4 linked regions of the Daphnia pulex genome follow. The protein of the gene in region 3 purifies or fractionates together with the protein of the main gene of each other region. This does not show direct contact. Links are inferred from orthologs where the notes say so. Each region holds a gene or a part of one and is shown on either strand. Other genes may lie near its edges. The genes, in order: lipoamide acyltransferase component of branched-chain alpha-keto acid dehydrogenase complex, mitochondrial-like; mitochondrial import inner membrane translocase subunit TIM50-C-like; histone deacetylase 6-like; phospholipase A-2-activating protein-like.

Region 1 (7,876 bases), on a different chromosome or scaffold from region 3:
ATTCTCAAACCACGTGTTTGACAGGAATATATTGCGTGCGCCGTGCTGACTTTTTGCTTAAAGTTTACCATAGTTTTCTGTACGAACGCGTTGTTTTCTTTCTCGAGATTGACCGTAGGTTATTTAATCAAGTTTAAAACAGTTGTGAACTTTTAAGTACAAGAATGACGCTCAAAATTAACAAAGCGGCTGTCAAGAAAACCAAGAAGCAAGTTGTCGTAGCAGATGCCCCAGGTTTCACTCATTCAGAAAGCAAACTCATCGACCAGTTAGAAGCCAAGAAAAAAGTCAAACATGATAAAGTAGTCGAAGAAGATTACGGTAAAGTTGGAAACATGTTCAAAAAGAAAAAGAAAACTGCTGATGCTGAAGAAAACATTGAAGAAGAAGAAGAGAAAGTCGTTGTTAAAAAGGAGAAAAAGTCCAAGAAAATGGAAGTGGATAATGAAGATTTCGAAGTTATCAAGCCCTCAAAGAAATCAAAGAAAACTGAAGAAACAGAGTCTTCAAGTGATGTAGTCATCCCTGGCTTCTCAGCACCAAAGGTAGCACCTAAAAGAAAACATGAAGGAGAAGAAGTCAATGGTAAGAAAGCCAAAAAGACTGTTGGAGAACAGACAAGTGTATTCAAGAAGAAGGAAAAAGAAGCACTCAAAGTTGAACGAAAGACCAAGGAGAATGAAAATCGCTATCTGCTGTCTGTTAAAGCCAAAAAGCTCTGGGAGGAACTCAGAAGGGAAGACACTACCAAAGAACGTCAACTTTCCATTAGTGCTGATCTCTATGGATTGATCAAAACTCATGCAGCAGAGGTAAGTGAAAAGTTGATGAAAAGCTGTAATTCATTACAAATTGTATAATTAAATTTTCCTTTTAGTTGGTCTTTGCCCATGATACAGCCAGAGTTATTGAATGCTTGTTTGAGAAATCATCTCAGGATATCAGAGATGCCTTATTCAATGAACTTAAAAGCCATACTGTTAATTTGGCTAAATCACAGTACGCACATTTCTACTTGATGAAAGTTCTCCGCCATGGTAACAAGGAACAGCGAAATTATGTCATCACTGCGTTAAGCGGAAAAGTTGTTTTTCTTATGAAACACAAGGTATGCATCTATTTAACACCATCTTCTTTATTTCAATATTTGGCTAATTAATTCTTTATTATTTATCAGTTCGCCTCCAAAGTGGTTGAAACGGCATACAACGATTGGGCTAACGCAAGTCAACGCGCTCTGCTGAGCCAGGAATTTTATGGACCTGAATTTAAACTTTTTAAAGATGAGTCCATTACTACGTTGAGTGCCGCTCTGGCTAAACATCCCGAGAAGAGAGAAGTATTCCTAAAGCATATGAACCAGGCCATCGAACCAATCATTGCCAAAGGTTTGTTGATTTGATACCAATATTCGATTGTATTCAACCGTCTAATCGATTTTTTAATTGGAAAAGGTGTCTTCAATCACAGTTTATTGCATCGTTTGACTAATGAGTACCTTACTCACTGCAAAGAGAATGAACGCTCTGAAATGATCCAAAGTCTTCGTCAGGCAGTCGTTCAAGTTTTGCACACTCGCGATGGAGCTCGAGTTGGAATGACGTGCCTCTGGTATGGTACCCAAAAAGATCGAAAGGTAAATTTAAATTTTATTTATTTTGTGTTCGAAATTATATCTCACCCGCCTGTCTATTGAAAATTATATAGGATATCATCAAAAGTTTCAAAGGTCACGTAACCAAGATCTGCTTAGAGGAGCACGGCCACATGGTGCTGATGGCGCTTTTCGATTCCGTGGATGACACCAAACTCGTTGCCAAAGCTATTGTCACAGAAATTGCTACCAACTGGAGAGAGATTGCTGTTCACGAGCACGGCCGAAAGGTTGTCATGTACTTGCTTGCTGGCCGCGATCCCAAGTTCACCCATCCACAGATTATTGACATATTGAAGCAAGGAGACGGTAATCCCAACAGCAAGAAAGATATGGAAACTCGTCACAAGGAACTTCTCCAGTATGCCTCCCCTTCCTGGTTGGAAGCTGTCTCACACGAACCTGAAATGTGGTTGAAAGATAGCAAAAACTGTCTTGTTCTTGGCTCCATTCTCAAATTTTGCGTCGGGGAAGAATTGCAAGCTGCTTTTAAAGCAGTGGCTTCAGTTATTGGTAACCCACTCGACCAAGATCTGAGAAACGCGTTTAGCTCTAGTGGCGAAAAAGTTCAATATTGGGTTGAACAGTCGGCTGTTCATATGACGGTTAAAAAGCTAATTCAGTTTGACAAGCTACGAACGCAACCTCCCTATTTTAGCCAGGCAATCATCGATGAAGTAGACTCTGATGAGATTAAAGGTTGGCTAAGCTGCAATCGCGGTTCTTTCTTGCTCGTTGGAATGGTTGAAACCGAAATTGACAGTGTCATACAAGCAGTTTTAGAAAAACTTAAAAATTTGAGGAAATTTCTACAAAAACAAACCAACAAAGGCTCTGACATCCTTGATTCCAAATTGGCGAAGTTGGAACCAATCTAGACTTCACTGTTGAACTGTAATCGAAAAAAAATCATTGGAATAAAAAATAATTTCTGGAACATTTTGTATTTTTTTTTTAATTTAAAACAAATAAGAATTTTGTGTTGCCATATTTGCAAATTTATTTATTTTAAATTATTATTTTATAAATAATTTCAATAAATATAAGTGTGTGCTCAGCGCCATCTTCTCTCCGTCGGACGTGATAAGTGTAGAATTTTTCCTCTGCGAGTAAACATGGCTTCTGCTTCACGACGAATTGTTTGTAGTTTTCGACAACATAAGTTGTTCTACCTGGTAATTAGATTTTTAATTTGTCAACTAGATTCGATAGAATAATTTAAAAATTTATCCCGTTTTAAATAACACCTAGAAATCACGATTGCAATACAATGCCGTTCCATTGCTTATTTCTCGTTTCGGACCCTGCGGTCACGTCGAACAATTTCATCCAATAACTACTAGATTTTTTCATTCTTCGAAACCTTTTTATGGAGAGAAAGTACCCTTCAAACTTTCAGATATTGGAGAGGGAATCACGGAAGTTACGGTTAAAGAATGGTAATAGTCTTTGTTTAACATTTATTGTTCACTGTATTTATATGAGATTGAAATCAATTCTAAAGGTATGTCAAGGAAGGTGATAAAGTGGCTCAGTTTGACCCCATCTGTGAAGTTCAGAGTGACAAAGCATCAGTTACCATTACCAGTCGCTATGATGGAATCATTAGCAAGTTGCATTATGCTACAGACGATATGGCCAAAGTGGGTACACCATTGGTAGATATAGAAGTCAGTGGTTCAGTCACAGGTACAAAAAACAGTGATTCTTGTTTCACTTGATTTTGTGTTGCTTATAGTTTTTTTTTTTAGAAGAGCCTGTTGAAGAGTTGCAAGAAAAAGATGCCATACCCCTCGGTGAAAGAGAAGACGAGAGTTTGGATACTCTAGAACTTCCAGCAGAAAAGGTATTGACAACACCATCTGTTAGAAAAATGGCCAGTGATCATAAGGTATGTTTTAGCGACTGAACTTTAATAGAAATTCTGTCAGTAAAACTTGGTTTTAATATTATAGATAAATCTACGAGATGTACAAGGAAGTGGGAGAGACGGACGTATCTTGAAGGAAGATATGCTTCGGCACATTGAAACTCTTCGTAGCTCTAAGAGCGCCCCGAAAGCTAAACAACAGGCGCCCCAGGAACAACCTAAACCTGTTGCAGCTACCTCCCAACAGCCGTCGCCTTCAACAAAAAGCCCACAGCAAGTGAGACCAGCCTGTCCGGTTGGAGTGGACCGCACTGAGTCGATTAAAGGATTTAAGAAGGCTATGGCAAAGTCCATGACTAATGCACTGGTATGATCAAGAGATTTCACGTTCATATTTTCGGTTCATAATTTTCAAGATATTTATTTTTTAAAGCGAATTCCTCATTTTGGTTATTGTGATGAAATTGACATGACATCAATGGCTACGCTGAGACATTCTCTGAAAGAGAATCCAATGGTTAAAGAGCGAGGCATTAAGTTGTCTTTCATGCCATTCTTCATTAAAGCTGCATCCATGGCTCTGCAACAGTTCCCAGTTCTTAATGCTTCGGTTGACGAAGCTTGCGAAAATATTACTTACAAGTATGTAACCAAAAAAAAAAAAAAAAGTTTCTTTCTCACGTAAATAATTATTGAACTTCTTTTATTTAGAGCCTCTCATAATATTGGATTTGCCATGGATACGAGTCTCGGTTTAATTGTGCCGAATGTAAAAAATGTCCAATCATTGTCTGTGATGGATGTTGCTATCGAACTAGCCAGGCTGCAGGAGCTAGGCAATAAAGGAGTTTTGGGCACTGCAGATTTAACCGGTGGAACTTTCACCTTATCCAACATTGGATCGGTTGGATATAAATCTCTTAATATATTTTATTGATTACTTTTTATAAATTCCTCGTTTAAAACGTTTTCCCTTTTAATTTCAGATAGGAGGAACTTATGCCAAACCCGTCATTATGCCGCCGGAGGTTGCTATTGGAGCAATAGGACGTGTCCAGGTAGTTTTTAAATTTCGGCAACCTTTAATTATTCAGATGATTCAGTAGTATTGAATTGTTTAGGTACTTCCTCGTTTCAACAACAAAGGTGAGGTGGTGAGAGCATCCATCATGCAAGTTAGTTGGTCTGCTGACCATCGAGTGATTGATGGCGCCTCAATGGCGCGATTTTCCAATTTGTGGAAGGCTTATCTAGAAAATCCCAGCATTATGATCTTAGACTTGAAATGAATATTCAAATACTAATAATGAAGTACTCTACAATCCGTGTCCTCCTGGCGGAAGGGTACGTTTCTAAATTTAATAAAAGAGGATCTATATTAGTGTATAATGGTCGCGAAGTGAAATCTCAACAGCATGGGACTCAGTCATATGGTCAGTATGATCATCAGTGTATGAAAAAAAAAGAAACTTGATATAATATACTGCCTATCTGTTATTTCACTAAGATAACAGATTAGTCCTACACGTGAAATTTTCTTTTAAATGTTTTTCTTTTACTTAAGTTTAATATTTTAAATTAAACAAACAATATGACTGTGTTTGTGAATTTGTAGTTTTATGTACTATTTATCCAGTGTGAACAACATTTTCTTGTACTAGTAATGCCATGTTTAATTTTTAATATTATTTACTTTATGTGATGCAACTTTAACAGGAGATAGTGGAGACGGACTTGGTCAGTGGCCCACTTGTCTGCCCGCTAGGTTAAGAAAACCAACGTATCTGTCATCTGTCATGAATTACCTGTTCGTAAGTTTTCGTAATGTTTTGGGAATTTCCCTCAGAAATAGTAAATCACCCAATTACTTACGATTCGGTTCGGTGTGCGCGGTTGCGTCGGTTTAAAATTGAGCAAATAGAGAAGCTTGTTGTGCGCAAAACAGAAACATTTGTAATGACTTTCTCAATCCGAATGAAATATTCAAATACTCCCTAAAATCGTTAAATAACCTAACCAAACACAAAAAACAGTAACTACACAATAACCGTCTAAGCCAACGAGCCCCCTAGCGGGATAATGGATTACATCGAATGAAGCCACAACCCCGCCAAATAAACGAAATCAGGTCTAGGCGGGCTGGGAAATGTTTTTTAGCCTTTTCTCTAAACATGTTTTCATCTTTTTTAGAAGATCTGATGTCAAATAGCGTTGCTGTGGCCCGGTCCGAAATTTTTAGGATTTTTTCAGGGGGTGACCGGTCCCGGCAACCGAACGGTTGCACCGGACCGTTGAGGGCCTTACAAAAACCCAAAATTGTGAAATTTAAATTTACACTGGAAAGGAAAGATGAAATGTAATATTTTCCAACTGTGACAACAACCCAACCTATGTAGGTTGAAATGTAGATCTCCTTGAATAGTTCATTCTGTTGCGTGTAAAGTATACCGCCTGACCGCACTGACCCACACCCCGTGCTGCCTGTGTTGGGTGTCTATAGTCGAGACAGGGGAAATCAAATCATCTGAAATGATACCGCTCTCCGTTAATCGAGTTCACAACATCACAGACTACTTTTTATACTATACCAAAATTTTTCTCACGACAGCTAAGCATGTCTTATCCAAATAAAGTAGCTACTGAAAAAAAATAATACGTGTCGATAACAAAAATAATTCTATTTGTGTGTGTGCTGTGTGTGTGTGTGTGTGTGTGTAGACACATATTTAGTTTAAGGATCCGTTTACTCCCGGCTGCTGGAATTTCGTTTTTTTTTTTCTGGTTTCATCCAGACGTGCTGGTTGTTTTGGTTTGCGTATTACATGTCGAAACGGGCGCAGACCATTAATTCCACTTGCTTAAACCGACCGTGACAAGAAAGCTGCGGCTTGTTTACAGTATATGATTTCGTGCTGGCGCGGAGATATGGTGCTGCCTTTTAACTGCTTTATATCCTTTTCGGTTGCCTCAACAGCCGTGTGATTGCGAGCCACAATCAACCGATATGTTTATTTGTTATTGTTACATAACTTTGGACGAGCGGGAGTGCGGGACTGGTTCTGGCGTCGCTTGAAACAGCCCGGAGAAAATTGTGCCGGTCGGACGACACTGACCTGGCTGTTACGATGCCTGAAAGGAAACGAGGCTTGGGATAATCTTGAAAATATTGAGGACGTCAGGCGTGAAAATAAATCTACATTGAAAAACAAAAAAGAAAGTAAATATTTAAGATAACTAATCGAGTTTCCGGTTTCTTGAAGTATATTATGTTCAGCTCGCCTTATTAAACAGCCTGCGTCATCATCTACATTATCCTTTGATTTTGGGATCTGCAGGGCACCTATAACCTTCGAAATAAACCCTGAATGACCTAATGCAGGCCTGTTGTGCTCGCTGTTGTGAGAAAATCTGTTTGGACGATATGGCTTTATAGTTTATACACACGCAAACATGTTTTTATAATGAATCCGAGTTTTCGAGATTACAAATAACTGACTAGAGAAAATATGAACTTGATAGTAGTAAATTTCACTTCTGTATAAGCAAACGCAATATAATAACCCGCGTGAATAAAATGTGAAAAATCACGATGTTCCTTAACAGCAGTAATAGTAGATAAATAATCCGTGGCAAAAGGATCAGCATACGTCAATTCTCGAATCAGGGCGTCAATGGCGTCATGCTGCCGCCCGCCGTTAGGCCAGCAAGCTTGCATGACGAGGGCGGGCGGGCGACTGGAAGCTGACCTTCAGGATGTGTAACATTGCCCGAGGATGGCGGGAATAGATCGCGCAAGTATAATGATGTACATAGGAAACTGAATCACCTCGTCGTCAAGCGCCCAACCGCAATTCCTTTTATTTGATCGATGACTCCGCCGTTGATTGCGAGATGCTCATTTGAATGGCGAATAATATGTAAAGGAGGAAACAGTATATGCTAGACATCCGCTGGACATTCCCGCCATATAAAGAGGGCCGGCCGGCTACCGACCTTTTGGCTTATTTGAAATCAGCCTTCATCTGGTCACGCGAGGCTTTTTTATTGTTCGAACAGGAGAAGAGCCTATATAATGGTTTCAATAGCGTTTCAAGCGTCTCGACGGTATCAACTCGATATGATTTCAACCGTGTCTATCGAGTGATGCATGGGAATCGCTCCTATATATATATTGCTTCCGCCCGCTATGAAAGTCGGTTATTTTATTGGGTTCACAATAAGCTATATACACGCACTCTATATAATGCACGTCTGACATCTCCAACGGAACTGTGCATTCACAGAGTATTAAATTAACATACAAGATTTATTTACAGTATGCGATATGTTGTGTCTATGAACCGCTAAGAACG
Region 2 (7,562 bases), on a different chromosome or scaffold from region 3:
TCCGTCGGGTGTAGGAGCAACGATAAGCACCGCCCATCAGCTTGTTGACGACCAAGCCGATATCGATAAGACTGTAAGAATAGTTGCGAGGCAAATGTGGACGGACGTCACGAACGATGTACCTCAGCGTATTGGCTGGACCTTGTTTGGAATTATAAAGTTCTTCCAATCGATGGATGGTTAAGAATTTGGCCATTTGCACACCCATTTCCAGCAGCAACTTTACAAAGTCCACGCGATTTCTCGCCAAGGCTTCCATCATGGCTTCTTCCAGGGCTCCATCGGCCCACTCTTGGCCGTAAATGAAGATCTCGGAACGGGCAATGTCGACTCGATTCCAAGCCAAAGCCAAACTAAGTTGTTCGGCAGCTGTCAAGTAACGGGCACGGAAAAGTGCACAAAGAATGGCACGATCCAGCTGATTCAGTGACTTTGATTCCGAGGTCTCTGACGGTTTGAAAATGGTGATGAGATCCACATTTTCGACGCACTGTAGAAGTTCGGCAAGCAATTTATTCGTCTGAGACTGACTGATATTGAATGTTTTCTGGATTTCAGCCAGCAGTTGTTCTCGTATTCCGTCCAAAGCAGTCGATGATTCCTCCATCTCTTTGGCGTATTTGTGCGCAAAGGAAATCAGATTAGCTGCCCGGCCTGAGCCTTCCACCACAACTACTGGAACAGGTGGCGAATCCGTTACGTATTCCAGCACGGTCCTGATAGTGTCCATTCCGCCCTCAACGACCAAACAGACAACAGGAATAGAACAATTAGTTCGAGCCGGAAGCCGTTGGCTGGATATGTATTTCTCCAGTTTCCTCCGCAGGGCGATCTCCGCTCCATAACGACCTGGAGAAAACAGTTGAATATGACCAATCCACGGATAAATGAACAATTAAAACTGACCCACAGTTCCGTTGTCAGCCAGTAGAAAATACGAGTGTCGATTGTTGAGAGCAGCGAATTTGGAACGCGGATGATCGATCGATTGATAGGCGACATCCTTCTTCCGGCCGATCAGTGAAGCTCGATTTTCCACCACACCCCAGGGAGCGACGCCGATACTGACGACACGGCCACTTCGTAATCGAGGAGAACGTTCTGATATCAAAGCATCGCCGACATGATGAGTCACTCCCGTACTGGTCCCACCCGTCAAGATCCATGCACCTGTCGGAAGTGGAAATGAGGTGAAAGCTTCGTTAGTCATCTAATGTTAATTAGTACCCGTAGTTTTAGCTGCTCGAAGGAGTCCCTCTTTGAAGACGAGCTTGAGTCGTGGATTAAGTTTAAAATTAACTTTGCCACCGTGTACGGAGATGACAAGTTTAGGTAATTCAAGTCCCCATTCACGGGTCAGCAGTTGAAAAATATGGTCGGTGCCTGAATCAAAGCCCAGCCGGATGAATTGAGCTTTATTGGGATGTGGGCCGCCCAAGAAATCGATGGTGCCATAAGAGTCGGTTGGGCTGCTGACAGTATGATGGGCAGGGGACCAAACTTCTTCCGACACGCCAACATTTTTGATTCCGTGAGTCTTGTGATACGTCCACGTTCGGCCGCAAGTACACAGTGGGCCTTTGTCGGAGCTGCAAACGTATCTGGAGCATTCTCGCTTGCAAAATGTTGATTCTATCCAGCCTGGATGACCCGGAGGAATCGCAAAAACGACGCCACTTGCAGACGTTACAGCCAGTTGATTTTCCTCTATATGGGTAAAAGAAATAAAAATGGTTTACTTATTTAACAAAGTTTTAGCATTAAATTAGAGAATTTCATGTGTAAAAATTAAATACAAAAAAAGCGGCATTTTGAAAACAACTTACCAATCATGGCCGAACGTGTTTGGACTCAGTCATGAGAAACTATAGACTACCTTAGAATCTTAAATTCAAGTGCACCCGTTTCACCAGCATTGAACTAGTTTTAAGGTACGTACACAACAAACTGACATGCAGTGATAAGTAGTTTTGACGAAGGTCGAACCTTAAAAACAATCACACAAGATGAAGCAATAACATCGTATGTAGCAATATTTGGACTTCAGATTAGAAGTCTTGGATTAACTCATACTTGGCTTTTCACAAAAGGATCGGTCGACGTTACCGTCTGGGAAAAGTCAAGGAACGGTATGAAATTTCACTACAAGTCTGGAAAGAATGAGCTTCACTGAGATGAGAGAGCAATTATTAAAGAGGACTTTACACGATAGCGGCAATAAAGAGGTTGTTGATCCTCGATAAGTTGTATGTTATCAACAAATTAATCCTGCATTTGCGCATTCTTTGCATTCATATCACATGTAACCGATTGCATCGCGGTGATATCAAGTAGCATTAGAGACCCCGACACACTCACTAATAAAACGTTATTGAAAATGTCGAAAACGAAACTACAAGGTTAACTTTAACTATACCAAGATAATTCAGTCAAGTATGAAATCCGAATGTAAATAAAACCGATAAAATGTTACCTTCTACAGCTGAACACTTTTAACATTTTCCATTTGAGACGAAGAAGTATCGCGGCGGCAATAATGCAAGGCCATTCAAAAATAAGGCATGAAAATATGAATGCAAAATCTCTTGTTCTCAGCATCCTGCACTCACAATCGTAATCGCAATATACCGCGTTTAGATTTTACAGACCCATAGGAATTAGGAAATAGATTTTGGATTTTTGAATTTTTTTACCCGACGGTTGGAATAAAGAAGCAATCTGACAACTACACAAATGTTGCAGAAGATTCTTGAGAAAATTAAAAATATCAAGAAAAATGGCTGCCTCCAGATATGTCACGAGTTTCGTAAAGTTATCTCAAATAAGTGGTACAAAATTGACTTGTGGAAATTTTCACAGACTAGTGACAATTCCCCAAAATGTGCTGTGTCAACCAAAGCAAATAAGTAACATTCTCTTAGCTACCAGGCACTTACAGTTTAGGTGTTACAGCCAAAAGTCCGACAGCAGCAACGAGACACAGACGACGACGGCGAACAAACCGGCTGCAGCTAGTCCAATATTAGGTTCATTTCAAGGTATGGGAATTGCAGGAGAGGTTTTAAAGTCCCAAAATGAAACCGAAGGAAAGCTGAAGTCTTCTCCACCTGGCCAACAACAACAAAACAACAGTGAAGAAGATGAAGAAGCCAAAAAGAAAAAGGAAGCAGAGGCTAGTTGGAGAACTATGAAATACACACTTATTTTCTTTGGAGTAACACTAAGCGGCCTAAGTGGTTACATTGTTGGCACATGGGGAGCACCAGAGAGAGATGAAGAGGGCAATGTGATAGAAGACCAATTCAGCTCAAAACCTCTGGCACTACAATATATCCTTAGGTCATGGAATGCCATAATGAACTATAGTCAAGTAAGCATCTCTGACTGTCAGATTTTTAAAACATTTCAATTAATTTTAATATTGTTTTTGGCTTTCTTTTCAGATGATTAGAGACCCTTCAAGAGATAAACTTTTACCTGATCCTCTGAAAGAGCCATATTATCAGCCTCCTTACACATTAATCTTGGAAATGACTGGTGTTCTAGTCCACCCAGATTGGACAGTAATTAATCAGTTGAACTGTATGCATTTCAAATGAAACATCATAATCATTTGCTCTCTCTCTTAATTTCAGTATCAAACTGGTTGGAGGTTTAAGAAGAGGCCAGGAATAGATTTTTTTTTGGCACAAGTGGGTCCACCCGCATTTGAAGTGGTTGTCTACACGGCTGAACAAGCCTTTGTAAGTACCATTTTTAAATTTCACGTTCTCGGTACAAAATAATTAAATTTCTTTACCTCTTTAGACGGCCTTTCCCATATTAGACGCCTTGGATCCCAACGGTTACATCATGTACCGACTCTTCCGCGACGCTACTCGGTATGTTGATGGTCATCACGTGAAAGATCTTGACTGCATCAATCGCGATCCATCAAAAGTGATTGTCCTCGATTGGAACACCCAGTCAGTCAAATCGCATCCTCGTAATGCACTTAGAATTAAAGAATGGAAGGGTAACGATGATGACAGGACCCTTGTCGACTTGGCTCTACTATTGAAAAGTAAATGTCCTTCTAAGAAATAGTATGAAAAAAATACTAATGAAGTAACGCATTTTACTGGTGAATAGCAATTGCTACGTCAGAAGTCCAAGATGTGCGAGAAGTGCTGGATTTCTACAACCAATTCGACGATCCTATCGAAGCATTTCGGGAAAATCAACGGAAACTTCAAGTAAGTGTAAATCCATCATCCAATTCTTAAATTTGTTTTTACCCAATTTTGTTGCTGTGCAGGAACAACAGGAACTGATGGAACGAATGAATCAAGAGAAACAAATTCTACCAGCTACATCTGTTGCCCGTGGTCTATTTGGTCGGCGATTTTGATTCAGCAAGTCTCGTTTCTAGTATATTAATTCGAATAAATCACCGATCGAAAGTTTCTGAAAGAAAAAAAAATACTCTTATCATTGGGTCGAGGCACAGCCAAGAACGGGAAAACATTTTGTCCCATATTTTATACAGGATGTCAACCGTCCATATAAAGCGTCGTCGATACCTACTGTCTCGGTCGTTTTCAAGTTCTTTACTCTTTTGAGCAATTGTTACACTTCAGTTTGCGCGGTAGATGGGTTCACATTCCTTCAAGTGTTGAATAGAATCTGTAAATATTCCAGTGAACTCAATCGCAATAGTTTAAACAAATACTTTACCTTCGTTGGACTAAATAAAATGCTTCGACGGTAATTTACACTTAGATTAGTTGTTGCAATACAATTGAAGATAGAAACTTAAATACCGTATCGTATGGGAGTATTTAGGTAAAATATTAGGTGCTGGATTGATATTCCTAGACTGCATTGAATTATTAGTCGTCAAATAAATGGATTAAAGCTTTGGACCGGTAATCGACTTAAAAAGATTGCAAACCATTTGAAAATCACTTGTTTTATTCCTTCAAGGAACAGTCAAGAAAAAATTGTGCAGCATACGCAAAACGTTTTTATTGATTCTCATGTCGGATAACGCGTCACTCGTCCATAGCATCGTCATTTTCGATACTGTCTCGCTTCCGTTTCCAAGTGCTTTGCTCCCTTGAGCACTGACCATTGTTTGTTACACTCCAGTTTGCTTTGTAGATAGGTTCATATTCCTTTAACTGTTGAACAAATCCTATTAAGAGAGTTTGAGCTATGTGAGACTATTATTCTAATGAACTGAGATGCAACAATTTAAAAAAATACCTACCTTCATTGGGATTAATGCAAAACCTTCTCTGTTGCACTAAACTGAAAGCCTCTCTGTAAATAAATAAAAAAATTAGATCAGAGCTTGAAAAGAATGTCATGCTTTACTGCTTATATATGAATGAATGTTGAGAAATATACCTGTAGTCAAGGCAGTATTTTTGCATAAGAAAGCCCAGAACAATGGCAGCACTTCGAGATATGCCAGCATTACCGTGAATAAGAGCTTTGCCTCCTGCAGAAAAACAGCTATCCAAGAAAGTTTTAACTTTTTGGAAGTGCTGAATGATATTTTCTGTGACTGAATCTTTCACGTTGACAACCAGGTATCTGAGGAAAAAGTGCAATACAAATAAGTCCATACAATTTGTTCCTTGTTTGGAATAATTTAATTTACTGGAATTTATCAACAAAATGTGTTTTGATCATGTGAGATTCAATGTCTTGTCTAACACAAACGATATGAGTGATTCCGTGAGTCTCAAGATAGTTCTCCTGGGGTTTAAAAAAATAAGAAGGTAATGTTGTTATACTTATTACATTGGCTAATGCAAGAATAAAAGATCTATGCAAACCATATACTTTGGATCGAACTGCAACCGAGTAGGGCCCAAGGAACAATCCTTTGACAATTTCTTGCATTTCCCTTCTCATCGAATATGTCCAATCGTTAGGTTCTTGGAAATCAGCCGTTATCGACGAGGCCGAAAGTATGTCGTGACTATTTGTCTGAACTTCCATTGAGGCGACTATTAAGACTATTAAGAATAAAAAGAAAAACTGTAAACACTAAGCCTGCGTTTTGAAACGAAAACTTTTTGTTTTTTTTTCACTCTGCTGTCTGATAATCGATGTTTAAGAGAATCGATTTTTCCAAGCAGACTAGAAATTTTCTTTTTGGCGGTTCGAGAGTCGAGTTCAACCTTTTATTGGCGGTTCAAGTTCAATACGTTGTTTCTTGTTTATAAATAGACGTCTGGCATGTGTCAGACAGCTTCCCTTTAAAGACGGGAAGATTTTGTCACTCGTCTCAGACCCGTTTCTTTGCTTGAGCCGTTTCGACACGATTACTCAGTTCTCTAAATTGTAAGTATTTTTTTCGATTGTTCCGAGGCAAACCAATTTCTTTATAACGAAAAAGTAAAGTTATTTTGCTTGTTAGATTGCCAGTTGCCCAGTTCGTAACAATAACAAGAATGTCGAATGGAAAGTCTTTAAAAATTACGGCTGAGGACAAAGACGGAGTTCGCACAAGATCTACTGTTATTCGATCGGAAAATTTCGGTCACGGATCAAAAGTTTCCATATCCAGTGAAGAGAAAAGACAGATGGGAGCAGGCAGAGGCAGTGATGTTAGTCATGTCTTTGCTAACATGCTTGGAGGATCGGGAAAAGACAAAGATAATCTTTTCCTATCATCCCCAAATTTCAACAGAGGTGCTTACAAAGAAAATGAATTTGAAACCAGGAAATTCATTAGAACTACCGAAAAGTATCACCCAGGAAAACAAGTAGAAGCTCACACAAAGGTCACCATACACCCCAGCAGCAATTCGGGAGCCGATCCTCGCATGAAGTATGATGTCACCTCGCACATTGACGGCAAAGAAGGGCCAAGTTACACTACGTTTTTTAATTTTTTTGGCAAGAAATGAGGTCAACTGCGATGGGGATTTTCAATCGAAGATCATATATATTCAATTATTCAAATAAAAAGTTCGCTACTTTAAATTTTTTAAAGTTATCTTACACCGCTTTTTGATCAAAATTTTTTCTAATACAATTCTTTTCACTGCTTTAGTCATTTGTTTTGTATTTTCTTATTCTACAATTTTTTACTTTTTGCGTCAAATAAAAGAGTAAAAATTACAGAGAGAAAGGCAGAAAGGGCGTTTTTCAGTTAATCGATATTTAAGAAATGAATCGATTTGCCCAAGCAGACTACGTAAAAACTTTTTGTTTTTCTTTTGTGAGTTGGTGACCCTCTCTCCTAGGTTCCACATCCACACCCTTTTTCTTATTTGTCTAGGCTGTTCTACAGCATTTTATGTAAATTTCAAGGCCACTTTTAATTTTACTTACCACTTAAAGATGAAAAGATATTCCGATAACATGAGTCCTGGTCGTTGGAAACGAATCTGTCCACCTGCCCACGATTCCGATAGTGATAGCAGCTCATCAGACTCTGACGGAAACATAAATTCTTGTAAGAATTATTTTGTAAAAAACTCTTTGGTGATTTTTAAATATAGTTTATCCTTAATCAATTAAAAGGGTAATGTTAAAAATCAAATATTTTCTCCATACTGTGT
Region 3 (8,126 bases):
TTAATTGCACCGCTCAATTATAAGGTGTCAGTTAACTTACCAGTTCGAAAATCTGCTCAATCATTGTGCTGCCGTTATTATTTGCTTCGTCATTCCTTCTTCGGTTTCTGTTATCGATTCGTTCAGTTCGTTCTGGAATCCGTTTTCGTTTGAAGATACACGTAACAACGTTTCCATGGAGCGTGTAGAAACCGCGGAAACAAGAAGGATCTTTTCTTTTTAGACGTTTACTGACTACCAAGCTAGGAATATCCGCAGTGGTGGACATTATAGCGGTTCGGTCAGGATAGAAGCGCAAATATCGAAAGTAGTTTACCAAATGCCACGGCTAAATAAAAAAAGAATGAAGAAAAATCACGGTAAGACATTTTCTTTCGGCAATATTTTACCTGATAATTGGTATCTTGAAAACTGTTCTCTCCTTGCCGCACATATGATGTTTTACTTATGTAACAGCCATGAAAATGAAGACGAGGACGATAAATGAACATGTCTCTATAGTTGGTAAAACCAAGAGTTGTAGGACTGGCTGGGCTGTTCCAGACACTGGAGACACAAACAAACATTTTCGTCATTTCCAACAAGCAAAACTATCTATACGGAATAAAAGTATACCTAAGGCACGCGAGTTTCCAAATTTCGGTGTCTCGGGAACAGACGTAGAGACCACGGCTAACCTGGAAACATGATCAAATAAGTGACGCTCCTGAAATTATAGCAAAACAATACTACTTACCAATGAAACTTGTTCTAATGACCGAAGATCCAAGTCAGAAGATACCACCTGAAGAAATTGAAATGTTAATTTTAGCGCTGCACATTTATGTAATGACCATTCATTTAAAAAATACCCATTTGAGAAGGTAAATAATAATTTCACGCGGTAAATCCGATATATGAGTACCCTAAAACAATTTTTTCTGTGAATGTTTGATACGCACAAGTCATTAAAAATGGTTTCAAACCTTTGGTTCATCGTGTGGGGTACAAACTAGACCATCCTGTAGTAATAGCCGTTCAAGCTTAACTAGCAAATCAACCGGAAGTTCATCATCGTCTTCATCATCAGAATTGTTGTTATGAACTTCTTCCTTCAAGTCTTTGTGACTTTTTGGTTCCGAAGTAGTCTCGCTGCCTTCTGTCGCACCCAAGAAAATTTAAACAGTGACAAGAAATTTTCAAATATAAAATTTGATTTTCTAACCTTTGTTCTTGGGATATGTGTATATTCTTTCTTCAATATCAGGGACCAACTGCATTGCTCGTTTGTAAAATTTTATAGCTTCCACAACTTCTCCAGACTTTTCATGTTTTACTCCACGTAGATATAAACTTTTTGCCTAGAGAATTTGGGTAATTGTTTAGTAACATAAATAAGCTAGATTGTGGATATGTTTAGAATGGTACATAGCTATACAAACCTCTTCTTCATCAACAGTTTCTTTACTCCCAGACTCGTGATCCTCATTTTTGGGTTTACTGCTGCTTGTCAGAGATTGCTGCACTGCAATGTTATGTTTAAAGTTTGGTCAACATTCACTAACAATGATAGAGCAAAGTGATAAATTTATACATCTGGCAGCAGAAATTTCAGTCTCCCATTGTCGCCGAAACGATTCTAGTAGTTCCTCGGTTGCTGGATCTTTCTCGGACTCCTGTTTGGCATGACAAAATGAAATCAAAAATATTTTGATTATATAATTGTAAATGTTTCTTATCCAATCAAGCTGTAGCAACCCTACCATTGGGAATGAAAAATAATAAACTCTCTCGGCTGGATATATGGTCAGTCCTACTTTCGGACGATACTTTTTTAACTGAACAGTAAGTCCACATATGCACAAATATACGAAATATTGGTGTAAAAGAAAATGGAAACAATCGAATTGATGTTGACCAAGTTAATACGTCAGTGGCTGCGCGACAAAAATAAAAATTTCGTCTGCTAGTAGCAGAAGCGGTGATGGAACACGCGGCCTATTCAAATTATGGCAAATTAAAGATTGCTTTGCAGACAAACCGAATGGTTCTAATATAAAATAAATCCATAAACTTACTCATGAATGCTGTATGTGGAATCACTATTATACTTGGTTTTCCTTCGGTAAAACTGACTCTAGGAAAGTAACTAGCGAACATGAAATTGTTAAGACAATTTGCAATCAACTGTGTTGTATTTTGAATGTTCCTTTTCACGTTATTGAATAAACAAATGTTTGAATAAGGACTTGAACAGATAAAAAAAAAATTCTTGGTACAAAAAATTAAATTCTTCATTCAACTTGATTTTGATTCAACTTCTTTGAGAGAAACAGATGAGCTAGATGCTCATTAAACAGCAGGGCGGAGGGCCATTTCTTGAATGTCGCACAACAACTTCGGGTGATCTTTTTTCGCCTTTTTCCATCCATCAGTCGCCATAACGTCAACTGGATTAATACGAAAGAAATCGACGGCTTCATTCTTCAAATCATCCACCAGTTGGTGTTCATTGCCGAGTAGAAGCAGCAAATCCATGCAATTGTCGGGAGTCATATGATGGAGCAAATGGACTTCACACTCGGTCTTCAGCTGGTCCAAGAAGTATTTGTCTGCGGCAAAGTAAAGTTGAGTTGCCATTTTCTCCATGGTCTTTGAAGATAAACGGGCAGTGTACACGAAACGAAGCAACTCGTGAAATACATCCGGATTGATGTCTTCAATTTCCACTTGATTGGACAGTTTCTCCTTGGTCGGATGTTCGAACATGGCAGCAAAGACTTTGCTTCTTGACGCCAAAATACTTTTGTGTGCTTGAAATTTTTGAGCACCGACGTTTAGAGTGACGTCAGCGTACTTGATGTTTTCGAACAAATATTCAAAGTGGTCAATCAGCTGATCACTGCAACTAATTGACTGGTCTTGGATTAGATTAGCTTTACCTGCGACAGGTTCTTTTTTCGCGTACGATTCAATCTCGCAGTGGAAGACGAGACTTCCGTTCAATTGCTGACACTCAGATTTTAGGATTGCATCTTTGAGAAAATTCAGATGGATGCTACAATAGCCATTCTTTTGAACACCGTATACTTGCTGGAGAACTTTCTGTCGTTTCCCGTTTAGGATTGATAATTTCATGCGAAAAGGGTCGACAGCCGTGACGCTCTTGAAGTTAGCGAATCCGGGAGTTGTAAGAAATAGTTGTACAGTTAATGTTGTACCCGCATCAGACAGTACTAGCTTCCACAGACGATCAGGAGTTTCTCTAGCTGAAAATAACGTTGATTCCAGAGGTTCCATCCACGCCGCAACAGTTTCTAGACATGGCACTTGAACATTCCATTCTAAATCAAGTTTTGAAATTTGTAATTCAGAGAGACAGACATTGTCCGCTGACGACTGCATGGCTCAGTACGTAGAAAAATGGCGACTGTTACAAACACGTGTTATTCTCAACAAAGATGAAATGCGAATGCCAGCTCTCACTTGAGTGTTGAGTCACTTCCCACTTCCCAGACCCCAGCATCAGCAAAATTGCAGACTGAAGGGTGAAGGGTAAGGGGCTGAAAACGAATAGAAAACGAAACTTGAAAGGGTGTGAGAAAGAGTGGGAGGGGATAGAATTTCATAGAGCCGAAGAGAACCCGAGGGAATAAAACTTTATGTTGCTAAGAGAAATTGTAATTTGACCAATTGATTGCAACTAAATACCACCGACGAAAGGGATTAACTTTTCAACCATAAAGATTATGTTGTTAATCATTGAATATGGCGTCATCTTTCATAAACCCGTAAAAAAGCCTGAAAACTGAGAAAGCTGTGACTAACCACACACATATAACTTAAGTTTTCTTGACAAATAAAAACGTCCTCCTCTCTATTATGTTTGGTCTCGTTTATTTAATTTGACGAACTCTAGAGAAGAAATTGTGCGATGATTTGTTCAGTTTGTTCTGTTTCGTCTTCGAAAATGGATGTCGTTCAGATGTCGTTCCACAAACGCATGCCGTTCGTCTGCTAGGAGAGTACTCGGTATGTTGTTTGATTTGACTTAATTATTTAATCATCTGAACTGATTAAAAATTAAGCTTTATATCGGTCGTGAATGAGTGTAACTTGACACAGTCTTACTTAAAGGGGTTGTAATCAATTTTAATAGCATAAATCACATTTCAACGGTAAACCCCGTTTCTTTGGAAATTGGAATTTAATAATTTGATTTAATAAGAAACCGTTATAAATAAATAACGCAGTAGTTTAGAATTACCTCGTATATTCATATTTCGATAGGCAATTCAAACTTCGTTCGTGCATCGGTATAATAAGTGTGAGCTTGTTTTAACCGACGCTCACCAGATGTCTCACTCAAGAGCTTGTTTGTTGACTTGCACTTGAGTTCTGTCAGCGGCTGCAGTCAAGAATTTAGCAGTCCCACAAGACAAGTCGAAATGAGTAAACAAACAAAGTTTTCGAATTTCGTGAAAGGTCGCTCACCATCGAATAAAAAAAATGAAAAATTAAATGTGTTTGTGGATCACTTGCAAAATGTAAGGACGGTTAAGACTGTTAAACGTTGTTTAATTTGGATAATGTTGAAGCTAGATGTTGATGAATGTATCACTCTGTTCTTGTAGACTCGGGATTCTAAAGATAAGATACGTGGCCAAACAGGAATTGTTTATGATGAACGGATGGTTGAACACCAGTGTCTTTGGGATCCCAATTACCCTGAATGTCCAGAGAGATTCACTCGGGTTTTGGAAAGGTCAGTTATCAGTTATATACCTAGTCTGAAATTTAAACTGCTTATGGTGAAATAATGGTTAAAAAATCTTGCAGATGCCGTGAATATGGGTTGGCTCAACGCTGTGTAGAAATTCAACCTAGAAAGGCAACTCAAGATGAGCTGTTGAAACTTCACACACCAGACAGAATTGAATTGCTCAAAGGAACAGATGGCAGTCCAGATGCTGAAGCATTAGAAGCTATCAGCTCAGGTTATGATGCCATTTACATTCATCCATCAACAAATGAGCTAGCATTGTTGGCAGCTGGATCAACAGTTGAGATGGTTGATGCCATACTGGATGGAAAGATACAAAATGGAATGGCTGTAATCAGGTAATATACATACTTTGCAAATTTTACTCCTCTCTTTTGTTTCAATTCAAAACTGATTTATTTAGACCGCCAGGGCACCATGCAATGAAAAGTGAATATTGTGGCTATTGTTTCTTCAACAATGTAGCAGTTGCAGCCCAGCATGCATTAGATAACAAGGGTGTTGAAAGAATTCTGATTGTTGATTGGGATGTTCACCATGGCCAGGCAACTCAACAAATGTTCTACGAAGACCCCAGGTAAAAAGGCATCTAGTTTATCACATGCACTGAATCAATTCTATGTGAGGGTTACCTTTATTGAATATTCAGAGTCTTATATTTCTCGGTTCATCGTTATGAGCACGGAGCTTTTTGGCCCAATCTTCGTGAAAGCGATTTTCACTACATTGGAAGTGGAGTTGGCAAAGGCTTTAACGTGAACGTGCCACTGAATAAAACGAAAATGGGTAACGCCGACTATCTGGCCATTTGGCACCAGCTGCTATTGCCTCTGGCTTATGAAGTAATAACTCATCTTGATACCATGTTTCATTTCATCTATTCAAATCGTTCAATGCATATTAATACTATGGTTAAATACGCTTGTAATTTAAAAACGCGCTTCATCTTGTTCAGTTTCAACCAGAGTTGATTATTGTATCAGCCGGCTATGACGCTGCCTTGGGTTGTTTCGAGGTAGTGTACAAGACTTCCTACTTATTCTTTTTGTTTTTCTTCTTTTCTTGTGATTTGCATGGCAATAGTTCCGCCCTGATCTTGTTCTCGTCTCCTCTGGTTTCGATTCGGCACTAGGCGACGAGAAGGTCCAACATTTGTTCTCTTCTTATTTTATATTCTACCTTTTTCTGAAGGAATTGTGAAGATATGCGGTGACTAATATTGTCAACGCCTTTTGTCAAATTTAGGGCGAAATGGAAATCACTCCCGCGTGCTACTCCCACTTGACGTCATCACTCATGGGGCTGGCCCAAGGCAAACTGGCTGTCGTTCTCGAAGTATAATCCGCTGACTCATCTATTACTCTGACCAAACCCTAGTGCTGGTCATTAATTATGTGTTTATTTTTAGGGAGGGTACTGCTTGAAATCCTTAGCCGAAGGAGCTGCTCTGACCTTGCGAACATTGCTTGGTGATCCTTGCCCAGTCATTGCAAAAGTCGAAGAGCCTTGTCAAAGGTAAAACGATTTCTTTTGACGAATATAATGCGGGCTGCATCATTTCTCTTATTGTAGTATTCAGGAAAGTATTTTGAGCGCTATTTATGTGCTTCGCCCTATGTGGAAATGTCTACAGTTCCAGGGCCGTTTTGATGCTTCAAAAGTGGGTAGTCAAAAGGAAGGAAAGCACTTTGTACCCAGTGTCACTTTTGAAGGATCTGACGTCAAACAAACATTGTTTGCCACTCGAAACTGCTACCCAGTGCAGAGCAATGAGACGATTGACCTCTTGGATCAGCGCCTTGATAAGCTCATTAAAGGTGACATGAATGATTACAAATTTTAAATAACAATTTAATTAACTGTAATTGTTTATTATTTTAGAAACGAGCTTGGCAGTGCCTAAGCATCGCGTTTGTTTCATCTACGATGAAAGAATGGCTTTGCATCGTAATATCAACGAACCGTAAGTTGAATTTTAAATTGTTTCGAGTTCTTTGTTATTTTTATGGAATTGTTTGACGATATCTTTTGCAGTGGACATCCGGAGCGACCTGCTAGAATCACTTCAATCTACCAGAAATTGATGGAATTCGGAGTGTTGGAGCGCTGCCACCGGCTGGATGCTCGAGATGCCGATCGCGAAGAATTGCTGTGGTTGCATCAGGCCGACTACATCGATGAGATTGCGGCGACCGCTGGTAAAAAGCAATCGACTCTCAACCAATTGGAACGGCAGTACGGATCCATCTTCATCTGTCCGGAAACCTATCAGGCTGCGTTGCTCTCAGCCGGCTCGTCTCTCCAAATTGTTGAAAGTATTTTGAGCGGTGAGAGTCGTAGTGGAATAGGAGTCGTCCGGCCACCGGGGCACCACGCGGAATGCGACGAAGCGTACGGCTTTTGTTTCTTCAACAACACGGCGCTGGCAGCCAAATATGCCATCGAGATTCATCATTTAGAAAGGTAATGATGCAATTCAAACTCGTTTATTAGATTAAATACGATTTATTTTATCTAGAATCCTTATCGTCGATTGGGATGTACACCACGGCAACGGAATCCAGCGGATGTTTGAAGAGGATCCGCGCGTATTGTACATTTCCTTGCATCGCTTCGACATCTTCCCTTTCAAACCGGAAGAATCTGATTGCAACGTAGTAGGAAGCGGATCCGGAGCTGGATACACAGTCAACATCGCTTGGCCCAAAGTATTTATTATTCAAACTGAATTATTGTCATCTGTTTTCTTAACTTGTACCAACTTGTTTCATTCTTATAGAGAGGGATGGGCGACACGGAATACCTTGCTGCGTTCCAGCAGATTATTATGCCTATCGCTTATCAATACAATCCGCAGTTAGTTCTTGTTGCAGCTGGATTCGATGCGGCCCAGGGGGATCCGTTGGGAGGTAAAATAAATTTTAAAAAAGTCCTTTTCATTTACCGTTGGATTTCTTTTAATTATACGACGTTCATAGGCTGCAAGATTACTCCGGAAGGGTACGGACAAATGACGAACATGCTTAGTTCACTTGCTCAAGGACGTGTTGCTATCCTACTCGAAGGCGGCTACAATTTGGATTCCATTTCGCACTCGATGACCATGTGTGCCAAAGCTTTGCTGGGAGACCCATTACCTTCACCAAGAATCGAACCACTCAATCCGGCAGCCATCAGCACCATCAAGCAGGTCGTCAGCCATCTGCTTCCTTATTGGAGTAGCCTCTGTTTCCACGTTGATTTACCCGAAGGAGATGTTCTCCCGCCTTGTGAAGTTACGAAAAAGCCGCTCAGTATTGAAGAACAATTGGAGAAACTCCAACTCGAGTCATCAGGAGCAACCAGTCAGGAGCCAGAAACTATC
Region 4 (8,193 bases), on a different chromosome or scaffold from region 3:
CAGGTCAGATGATCAACCCGGTGGTTATATCTTGTTCGAATAACCCACAGGTGACTACTGTAGACCATGGCCGGCCAATCAGCTTAGAAGTGCATCCGGTGCACAAGGCTGGCCAAGTGGGTTCGCATCAGGGTCTCAAGTTCGGCATCACCATTTCGAAAGATAAGATTCAAATCAGCAGCAATCCTCCTGAACAGGGATTAGCGGATCAAGAGGTCCGTGAAGCTGTCGTGCAGGTGGGTGATGGTGTAGATGATGGTAGCCGTGACAGCCAAGCGCCCGGGCATGAGATTTCTCACGACAATTCTTCTCATTCCCCTCTTTCTCCCTCGTTTCTTGCTTTGCTGGAAAAAGAACTGGAAGAATTCCAGCAGCTCCTCAGCAGCATGGCTACTACCCCCAATTCTTCTTTCGCCCCTTCATCTCTTCCTTTATCAGGTAGCTGGAGAGCCGTCTCACCCCTTTTTTATAGCAGCACTTTGCTTCCAAACGATCCGCGCTTTCACTTTGTACGTCTGCTTCGTTCCGGTTTTAAAGGAGGTGGCTCCATGTTAGCAGGGGACCTTTTTACAATGTAGGTGTCGTCAAAACTGCCACATCCGTGTGGAAGTACATCGTGATTGGTTTTGGGCAGCCACTCCTTGATGGAGAATGTCACATTCGTGTCGGTTGTTTGCTATAATGAACTATCTTTATTTCCTGTCCTTGGTGCATTCCAGGTATACTAGTATAGTCTTTCCTCATTCAAACTCGTTCTGACGAACAGAGAATCAAGTTAAAAACGGGTTACAATCGTTTCTGATACCATTTTAAGTGAACGGGTCTTCATCTGATTTTCGCTCTATCTTCGGAACGTGTAACTTCTATTTTGTACGGGAATTTGACGCGTTTTGTCAGTTTTTTGCCTATTGATTACGTGAACGGACGTGATGTTTTCGTTTAACGTATGCTTTGTGTGGAGTGTCTTAACATCGTGTCCAAGAGGTTGCGAATGCTTTTGAAACAAACAGACTTGGATTCTTGTGTTTTAAAGAAAATTAATCCATTGAAATAATCTTAAACACTGCTTTTCCATAATTTTCCGCACTTAACTTATTGCTGCAAGAGTTGAATGGGTTATAATCCACAAGCCCTTTTATGTGAAAAATTCCACAGTAGACAAAAGGTGCTGTAAATTAATATTTCTAGCAATGATTGACAAAATGCATTTGAACCCAAGTCTGATGCTGTGCTGATTTGAATGTTTACAGTGAACAGCTACTGTTTTTAATTATTATCAATTATTGTACGAATTTGCACATCTAACCTCATTTTTATTTCACTTGATCAGGTCCCGCTGGTTTGACATCGTCCGCATCTTCCAGCACTCCTGCGGAAGAGAGCAGCGGCGTTATGCTGCATATGGGTGTTTGAGATGGCCCACATATAAAGGACCAAGAAAGCCACTTAAAATATTTTACACGACAGTTGCATCTTAAGCAAAATTGCATTGTTTTTAAAAATTCAATCGTGAAAGATTCAATGATTGAGGATAAGTTAATGAAGAAGAAAACGCGTCGGTTTTATTCGTCGTGTCTAGTCGTTTTTCATTTCCATCCTCTGCAAAATTACTCACTCTCCTCTGTCTCTCTTATCTCTCTACCCCCATCTGTTTTAAGTAAATTGGGCGTGAATGATTACCTGACGACCATCACTTCTCATGTGCACGATTTCAATTGTTATTTTAAATGAGTACTTCCTAACCTGGCGACTTTACAAAAAAAAAAGAGCAAAATGTTTGTGTGTATGCGTGTTATAGGCATATCATGTAATTCGAAACTGACGTACTATATATAATTACCTCCCCCGGATCGGTCCTTCCCTTTCTACATTTATACTCGGAGCCCCATATCCTTGTAAATATTTATACATAATATTATCTATACATAGACACGATAAGCGGGAAAGCGGCAGCTTCACGAGCTTGGGCCATCAGGCGAAGTGAATTCCAATGTTTCAGCACACCCATTTTGTGACTTGACGTGAAAAGACGACAGACCTCCCCTAAACTGAGTCATAATTCTTGTTGTTACTGTATTTACTGTATAAATAAAAAGAGCTAGGAACGTAAATGACAAGTAAACATGGAATTTGACGACGTTCAACATTTCAATTTTATTAACCTGCAACAGCCGAAATTTTCTCACAGGCATCAAACACACGCATACACGGGGGAAAAGAGGATTTCACAAGTAAAAAAAACAAAAAAAAAAAACAGCATTGACGAAATTCAGGGCTCTTCGGTGACGATTTCTTCATTCGACTGTACGCTTCCTGTTCGCTCTCCGATTTTTTCGACTTCTTCTACATCTTCGGGTTTGCTTAATGATACTGGATTAATTCTCTCGTTCACATTTTCCTCGGAATCCTCTTCCGTCATATCTTCATCACTGGAGTCGGATTCGTCCCCGTTTTGAACGACTTCATCTTCATCGTCTGGTGATTCGCTGGATGAACTAGAACAATCTTCACTGGAAGTATCAGTAGAGGGATTTCTCAGTCTAACCTGTGAAATCAAAATGTTTTACTTGGATGTTTCTTAAATGAATTAATTTGAATCTTGTACCTTTTTCCCATGCATTGGACACCAGACTCTGAACTCTTTGATTCTTCTATTCTTGTCCTGCATGCACACTATCCGATGATGCATCTGATTCATGTAGACATTGGAGTCACACATTGACAGTTGCTGTTCAAGGTTTTTCACACGCTCCTCTAGACTTGATATTTTCTCAACAAGATCTTCTTGGGTCCAGTCAATTGTTGTTTCAGCTTCTCTCGTGGTCCTGTACACATTTTCAAAATCTTGCTGGAAATAAGGAGACCAACCAACATCATCTCTGGCACCAGGTGGGGTAAAGCCTTTATCAAAGTCAATAAAAAATGCAGAGTTCTCATGATCATCTATGATGAACTGTGTTGAGTTCTGGGGTGCTTTTGGGACTTTGGCAGGTCTCAGCAACCTTCTACCTCCACGAGTTGCCAATTTGTGAGGATGTAACAGAGGATGGGTTTCTTTGTGTAGCATTTTGAAATGTTTTCTTAGTGGTTCACCATCTTCGAGTAACTGTCTTTCCGTCTGTGGGGCGACCACTTCGGGGGTGATTGGGTCTTGATCACTTGTTGTCTCCAGCGAACGATCGTTTTTGTCTTTTCGTCTTTTACCACCCGCTTTACGTCGATGAGTTTTCTTCTTCGTTAAAACTTCAGCATTCTCCATTTTTGACATCAATGTTTAAATTTTTTTTCTTGCAAAATCATTAACACTGAGTGTGTAGGCTAAACAGTAGATATTCAAATGTTATAAAAGTACAAACAAATTCTTTCACCAAATGTCGAACTTCGCAGAAGCGAATGTCGAATGAAATTGTGTGTGCAGTTTTAGTTCAAGGCCTACCAAACGTCCATATTCTATTACTACATAAGTATAGTTTCCGAAGGCCCATTTGCTTTCGTATGGGTGTCGGGCAATGGATGGAACAGAACAGCAGACTATGAGTCTCTAGCAAGTTTGCAACCCAACTGAATTTTTATCGAATTTCTTCTCTACTTGCTTGTTCGTATTTGTTCGTCAAAAAAATACTTCTTCTTCACACAAGAGGCGCTACTTGAACGTGTTCTTCGGCAGAGAAAGCATTGTTTGAGCCTATAGATCAATTTAAAAAATAATTAATTACGAACAGATATGGTTTAAGAAAAATATATTTTTTATATAATGTTATTCACAACCTCCGTTTATGAAAATATTTATAGGGGGAAATATTACAAAGTAAACATCCGTCATCGATTCTTGTTTCGAACGAACGGCAATAGCGCATGATTCTTGATTTGTTTTTTTTTCGACTGACCTAGCAATAGTGAATTTATTTTGTGGGATTCCTATTACTACCAGAACGTATTTTCATCATGAATAAAATGCCTTATAAATTGCGATGTTCCATGCCAGGACATTCGAAGGACGTTCGGAGTGTCACTGTTGGAGACTTAATGGAAGAATGCATCGTATCTGGTTCCAGGGACAAGACTGCAAAATTATGGTTGCCGGAAGGGTATTCAATTTGATTTAAATACATTGTCATTATTTAAAGTAGCTTGATTACATCTAAAATCATTTTTCAGTTTGGGATTTGTCTGTGATCAAACATACATTGGAAGTGAAGGTTATGTCTCTGCTGTTGCTGTTGGTGGATGCTCAGATAATTTCCCTAGTGGATCTGTCATAACTGGATGTCAAGATGGGAAAATTAGAGTTTATAATCCAGGTGCAGTCAATCCAACATCCACCTTGACAGGGCATACAGACACTGGTTGGTTATTATTCTTAAAATTTCATAATATTTTTCATAATAAGTTTTCATAAAATGATAGCAAAGTTTGGTTATTTTTTTTTAGTTTGTGCTCTGGTTACTCGCCCTGGATTCTTATTAAGTGGTTCATGGGATAAAACTGCAAGGCTTTGGCAATCAGATGGTTCTCCAGTTGTAACTCTTTCTGGACATTCTGCAGCTGTCTGGGCTGTAGAATTTTTGCAGTGCAGTAGTTCTGCATCTGAATCTATACTATTGACAGCATCTGCAGATAAAACCATTAAAATGTGGAAAGGTGATTCACCATTTCAGAGTTTTAAGGGGCACACTGACTGTGTCAGAGCACTTGCTGTCTGTGATTCCACTCGGTTCTTGTCTGCTGCAAATGATGCAACTGTCAGATTGTGGGTCACAAGTGGAGATTGTATTTCTACTTTCTATGGACACACAAATTACATTTATGGGTAATCTTTTTGCTTTTTACAATCTGAACTTCCATTAACTGTTGGACTTCTTCTTTTAATTAGATTGTCGATGATGGCTGATCGCAATACTTTCGTCAGCTGTGGTGAAGATCGTTCTCTGCGCATATGGAAATTAGATGTGAGTGATGAGTGTCAACAAACAGTCTTCCTTCCTGCGCAGAGTATTTGGTCAGTCAGCGTTATGAAAAACGGCGATATTGTCACAGGGAGCAGGTATCAGTTAAAATCAAGAAAGTGATTTCAAATTGAAATGACTGCACGTTTTTCTTAGTGATGGATTAGTTCGAGTATTCACACAGAGCCCAGAACGAACAGCTAACCCAGAAGTGTTACAAGCTTTTGAGGAAGAACTGGCCGCCACGTCTTTAAATGCACAGTTGGAACTGGGGGGTATCAAAGCTTCAGAGTGAGTTTATCATCATTTTTATCTAAAACCCACTTCATTTGGAAGGAATAATTTACTAAATTTATACCTTTCTCCCATAGCTTGCCTGGTCCAGAGAGCCTTTTTGAACCTGGTACTAGAGAAGGTCAAACAAAAATGGTTCGTCACGGAGAAACTGTTTCCTGTTATAGGTACATTTCATTTTAGTCACAAAGGATTTACTCTTTTCGTCATTCAATTTCTGCTTTTACATTAGCTGGTCATCAAGTGATGGTCAATGGACAAAAGTGGGTGACGTAGTCGGTGCTGCTGGTCAATCAGATTCAACCAAGAATCTCTATGAAGGGAAAGAATACGATTATGTTTTTAGTGTCGATATTGATGAAGGCAAACCACCATTGAAGCTTCCTTATAACACCTCCGAAGATCCTTGGTTAGCCGCTCAAAAGTTCATACACAAGAATGATCTCAGCCAGTATTATCTGGATACAGTGGCAAACTTCATCATTACCAATAGTAAGAGCGGAACTGGCAGTGGTGCATCACAGAAATCAAGCGAAACATATGTGGACCCCTTTACTGGTGGTTCGCGATATGTTCCATCTTCTGGGAATGCTCCGTCGAATTCAGCAATGTCTCAGGGAGAAGATCCATTTACTGGTTCTGGTCGGTATATTCCACCCGGCCAACCAAAGAAACCGGAACCTGCTTTGTTCCCAGTCAAAGAATTCCTGCGCTTCGATCAAGCGAATATTGAAGCTATTTCAAGTATACATTGGTTAAACATATTATTGTAGATCAACAACATCTATATTGTTTTATGGTTTTAATTAAATAGCCAAACTAAAAGAGTTTAATGGCAAAGTCGATCCGAAACTGCAGCTGGCTGATTCCGATTTATTGGCATTTATACGATCCGCTGATCCCAGTTCTACTGTTGAAGGAATTCCTCATTTAGAAACATTTCTTCGTTGGCCATCTGGTAATATTTTGCCATCATGTTTTGGAAAGAAACTTACTAAATAATCTTATTTTACAGATAAGATGTTTCCTGCTTTGGACATTTTACGACTAGCATCCCGCCATTCTCGGGTAGATCGAATGTTAAGTGAAAAGGAAGGATTGCTTGATGTCATGCTGGCTATTTCTCGCTCGACCGTCCCGAACTGCATGATGATTTTAAGGACAATTGCTCATTTACTCATCCATAATTCTTCACAGCAAATACTAATGGATTATCGCGAAACGATATTTGCAGCAATCTTAGCGGTAGTAACGGAAAGTGACCCCTCATTTTTAAAACACTCCCAATGGAAACACGTTGAAATATCTGTTTCGACCGTTATTCTTAACTATGCCGTCCTTATTCATCTAAAACCTTCATTCGCTACAGTAGAGGCTAAAGCAAGTCTGATGAGCGCAATTGGCGAAATTCTATCCAAACTACAGGAGGAAGAGGCTTTGTTTAGGACTTTAGTAGCAGTTGGAACTCTTTTGTCAAATGCTGATGACTCAGTTGCCATTGCACATTCTTTAGAACTTAAATCTAAAATTGACTACTTCCAGAATATTTCTGGTAAAGTGGGTGAATGTTCTAAACAAGTTTTAATCCTTTTGAAATAATATTGTAATGCATATGTATCCTGTATTAACAAAGTGAAAACATGAAAATGAATACAGTTGGAAATTTTTCCTGAATTAATTCTTCAATTTAAACTGATATTGAGTTCAGTATTAGCAGAACTGTTCAAATGTTGTTAGAAATTTTCAGTTTGCTGTCTCACAGGCATCAATCCAGTCATTATAAACATCCACAGCTTCTGATAGGAAATTGATAGTAGTCTGGAAATCTTCAAGGCAAACTCTGCATGTGATTCGACCAGTGTTGCGTGTTTTATCCCTGAAAATAAAAAAAAGTATTCATATCATCTGTTGTAAAAATATCTAGATTTCAACAGCACATGATCAAGGTTTAAACTTACATTTTTACTTCACAGGACTTTTCGTGGTTGCAAAATGGGCAATTGAATTGCGTGTCCAAGGGCTCGATGGCTTTGCGCTTGGTGGGAGGCTTCCTCTTACTCTTTCTCTTTCCCATTGTTCGTTCAATCAATCAGATAAGCGATATCAGTTAATTTGTTTTATACTGTAAAGTAAATTGTGAATTCAATAAATAAGAAGAAACAATATTCAAGAACAAGCAAAAACACCTCGACCGTTGAGCGTCGTTCTCTAGTAAACAATCCCGATGTTGCCAATATGTTTTGTAGCTACTTGGCGAAACGAATTTTATTTACTGTGTTTTGTTTTAAAATCCCATTTGAAATAAAAACTTGTTTAAAAATTATTAGCACAGGTTCTTATATTAATTAATCTTCTTAAGCAATAAGAATTTGAAAAATTAATGATAAAAAAATAAATTGACAACTCTGTTAAAGACCCACGCCGCCAGCCGGCTCTCAATCTCTCATTTCTTGTCAGAGAGTTCGAGCGAAAACATTTTCATTCTCTATTCTGTTGCAATTTTTTTTTAAAGAAGTACCTCAATCTATCAAGAATGGACGTCAGACCCAACAGTACGATTTACATTAATAATCTCAACGAGAAAGTCAAGAAAGAAGGTACGAACTTGATATAGTATTGGGAAAATATGAAGGAGACTCGTGAAGATAAAATCACTAATGTGTTTTTGAACGTTAACCACGTGAAAACCTTTGTGTGTGTAGACACGAGTTCTTCACACTTTTCTAAATAATATCTTATTACATTTTTAGAACTGAAGAAATCATTGTATGCGATTTTTTCCCAATTTGGACAAATTCTTGACATTGTGGCTTTAAAAACTTTAAAGATGAGAGGACAAGCCTTTGTCATTTTCAAGGAAGTAACTTCAGCAACAAATGCCCTCAGAGGAATGCAAGGCTTTCCATTTTATGATAAACCTATGGTAATACATTTCATTCTTTCTTTTTTAGTT

Evidence for each region.
Region 1: the proteins of histone deacetylase 6-like (region 3) and lipoamide acyltransferase component of branched-chain alpha-keto acid dehydrogenase complex, mitochondrial-like purify together in Homo sapiens (affinity purification with mass spectrometry; 3 studies listed by BioGRID and IntAct, with this or other methods). This does not show direct contact. The link is inferred for Daphnia pulex from reciprocal best matches to the Homo sapiens genes HDAC6 and DBT.
Region 2: the proteins of histone deacetylase 6-like (region 3) and mitochondrial import inner membrane translocase subunit TIM50-C-like purify together in Homo sapiens (affinity purification with mass spectrometry; 3 studies listed by BioGRID and IntAct, counting the BioPlex papers as one, with this or other methods). This does not show direct contact. The link is inferred for Daphnia pulex from reciprocal best matches to the Homo sapiens genes HDAC6 and TIMM50.
Region 4: the proteins of histone deacetylase 6-like (region 3) and phospholipase A-2-activating protein-like purify together in Homo sapiens (affinity purification with mass spectrometry; 4 studies listed by BioGRID and IntAct, with this or other methods). This does not show direct contact. The link is inferred for Daphnia pulex from reciprocal best matches to the Homo sapiens genes HDAC6 and PLAA.

What each region holds. Positions count from the first base shown.
Region 1 is NC_060026.1:4,117,502-4,125,377, reverse strand, and holds lipoamide acyltransferase component of branched-chain alpha-keto acid dehydrogenase complex, mitochondrial-like, read left to right. Parts: upstream 1-2,689; 5' UTR 2,690-2,769; coding exon 2,770-2,829; intron 2,830-2,905; coding exon 2,906-3,093; intron 3,094-3,158; coding exon 3,159-3,343; intron 3,344-3,405; coding exon 3,406-3,545; intron 3,546-3,609; coding exon 3,610-3,891; intron 3,892-3,957; coding exon 3,958-4,166; intron 4,167-4,235; coding exon 4,236-4,428; intron 4,429-4,510; coding exon 4,511-4,582; intron 4,583-4,645; coding exon 4,646-4,813; 3' UTR 4,814-5,057; downstream 5,058-7,876. Other genes in the region: pumilio homolog 3-like, read left to right, coding at 165-812, 878-1,108, 1,178-1,388, 1,455-1,636, 1,708-2,532. UniProt on the Homo sapiens protein: The branched-chain alpha-keto dehydrogenase complex catalyzes the overall conversion of alpha-keto acids to acyl-CoA and CO(2).
Region 2 is NC_060024.1:13,317,692-13,325,253, reverse strand, and holds mitochondrial import inner membrane translocase subunit TIM50-C-like, read left to right. Parts: upstream 1-2,732; 5' UTR 2,733-2,776; coding exon 2,777-3,370; intron 3,371-3,443; coding exon 3,444-3,563; intron 3,564-3,635; coding exon 3,636-3,743; intron 3,744-3,807; coding exon 3,808-4,063; intron 4,064-4,131; coding exon 4,132-4,235; intron 4,236-4,297; coding exon 4,298-4,390; 3' UTR 4,391-4,445; downstream 4,446-7,562. Other genes in the region: transient receptor potential cation channel trpm-like, read right to left, coding at 1-849, 907-1,170, 1,228-1,707, 1,827-1,833; serine/threonine/tyrosine-interacting protein B-like, read right to left, coding at 5,034-5,176, 5,252-5,304, 5,392-5,580, 5,648-5,745, 5,833-5,991; E3 ubiquitin-protein ligase siah-1-like, read left to right, coding at 7,342-7,456. UniProt on the Homo sapiens protein: Essential component of the TIM23 complex, a complex that mediates the translocation of transit peptide-containing proteins across the mitochondrial inner membrane. Has some phosphatase activity in vitro; however such activity may not be relevant in vivo.
Region 3 is NC_060025.1:1,308,025-1,316,150, forward strand, and holds the start of histone deacetylase 6-like, read left to right. Parts: upstream 1-4,344; 5' UTR 4,345-4,427; coding exon 4,428-4,526; intron 4,527-4,613; coding exon 4,614-4,744; intron 4,745-4,818; coding exon 4,819-5,100; intron 5,101-5,165; coding exon 5,166-5,339; intron 5,340-5,411; coding exon 5,412-5,604; intron 5,605-5,717; coding exon of another isoform or gene 5,718-5,777; intron 5,778-5,845; coding exon 5,846-5,905; intron 5,906-6,007; coding exon 6,008-6,097; intron 6,098-6,170; coding exon 6,171-6,277; intron 6,278-6,334; coding exon 6,335-6,579; intron 6,580-6,643; coding exon 6,644-6,725; intron 6,726-6,796; coding exon 6,797-7,225; intron 7,226-7,280; coding exon 7,281-7,470; intron 7,471-7,541; coding exon 7,542-8,126. Other genes in the region: F-box only protein 9-like, read right to left, coding at 41-328, 390-546, 616-677, 737-784, 852-905, 966-1,138, 1,205-1,340, 1,422-1,504 and 2 more; speckle-type POZ protein-like, read right to left, coding at 2,332-3,384.
Region 4 is NC_060021.1:10,308,116-10,316,308, reverse strand, and holds phospholipase A-2-activating protein-like, read left to right. Parts: upstream 1-3,836; 5' UTR 3,837-3,945; coding exon 3,946-4,088; intron 4,089-4,158; coding exon 4,159-4,346; intron 4,347-4,431; coding exon 4,432-4,810; intron 4,811-4,873; coding exon 4,874-5,044; intron 5,045-5,102; coding exon 5,103-5,237; intron 5,238-5,317; coding exon 5,318-5,407; intron 5,408-5,472; coding exon 5,473-5,984; intron 5,985-6,054; coding exon 6,055-6,198; intron 6,199-6,255; coding exon 6,256-6,839; 3' UTR 6,840-6,914; downstream 6,915-8,193. Other genes in the region: CTTNBP2 N-terminal-like protein, read left to right, coding at 1-438, 1,331-1,413; uncharacterized protein LOC124194545, read right to left, coding at 2,270-2,545, 2,606-3,268; transcription elongation factor 1 homolog, read right to left, coding at 6,984-7,116, 7,199-7,314; U1 small nuclear ribonucleoprotein A-like, read left to right, coding at 7,774-7,837, 7,991-8,163. UniProt on the Homo sapiens protein: Plays a role in protein ubiquitination, sorting and degradation through its association with VCP. Involved in ubiquitin-mediated membrane proteins trafficking to late endosomes in an ESCRT-dependent manner, and hence plays a role in synaptic vesicle recycling.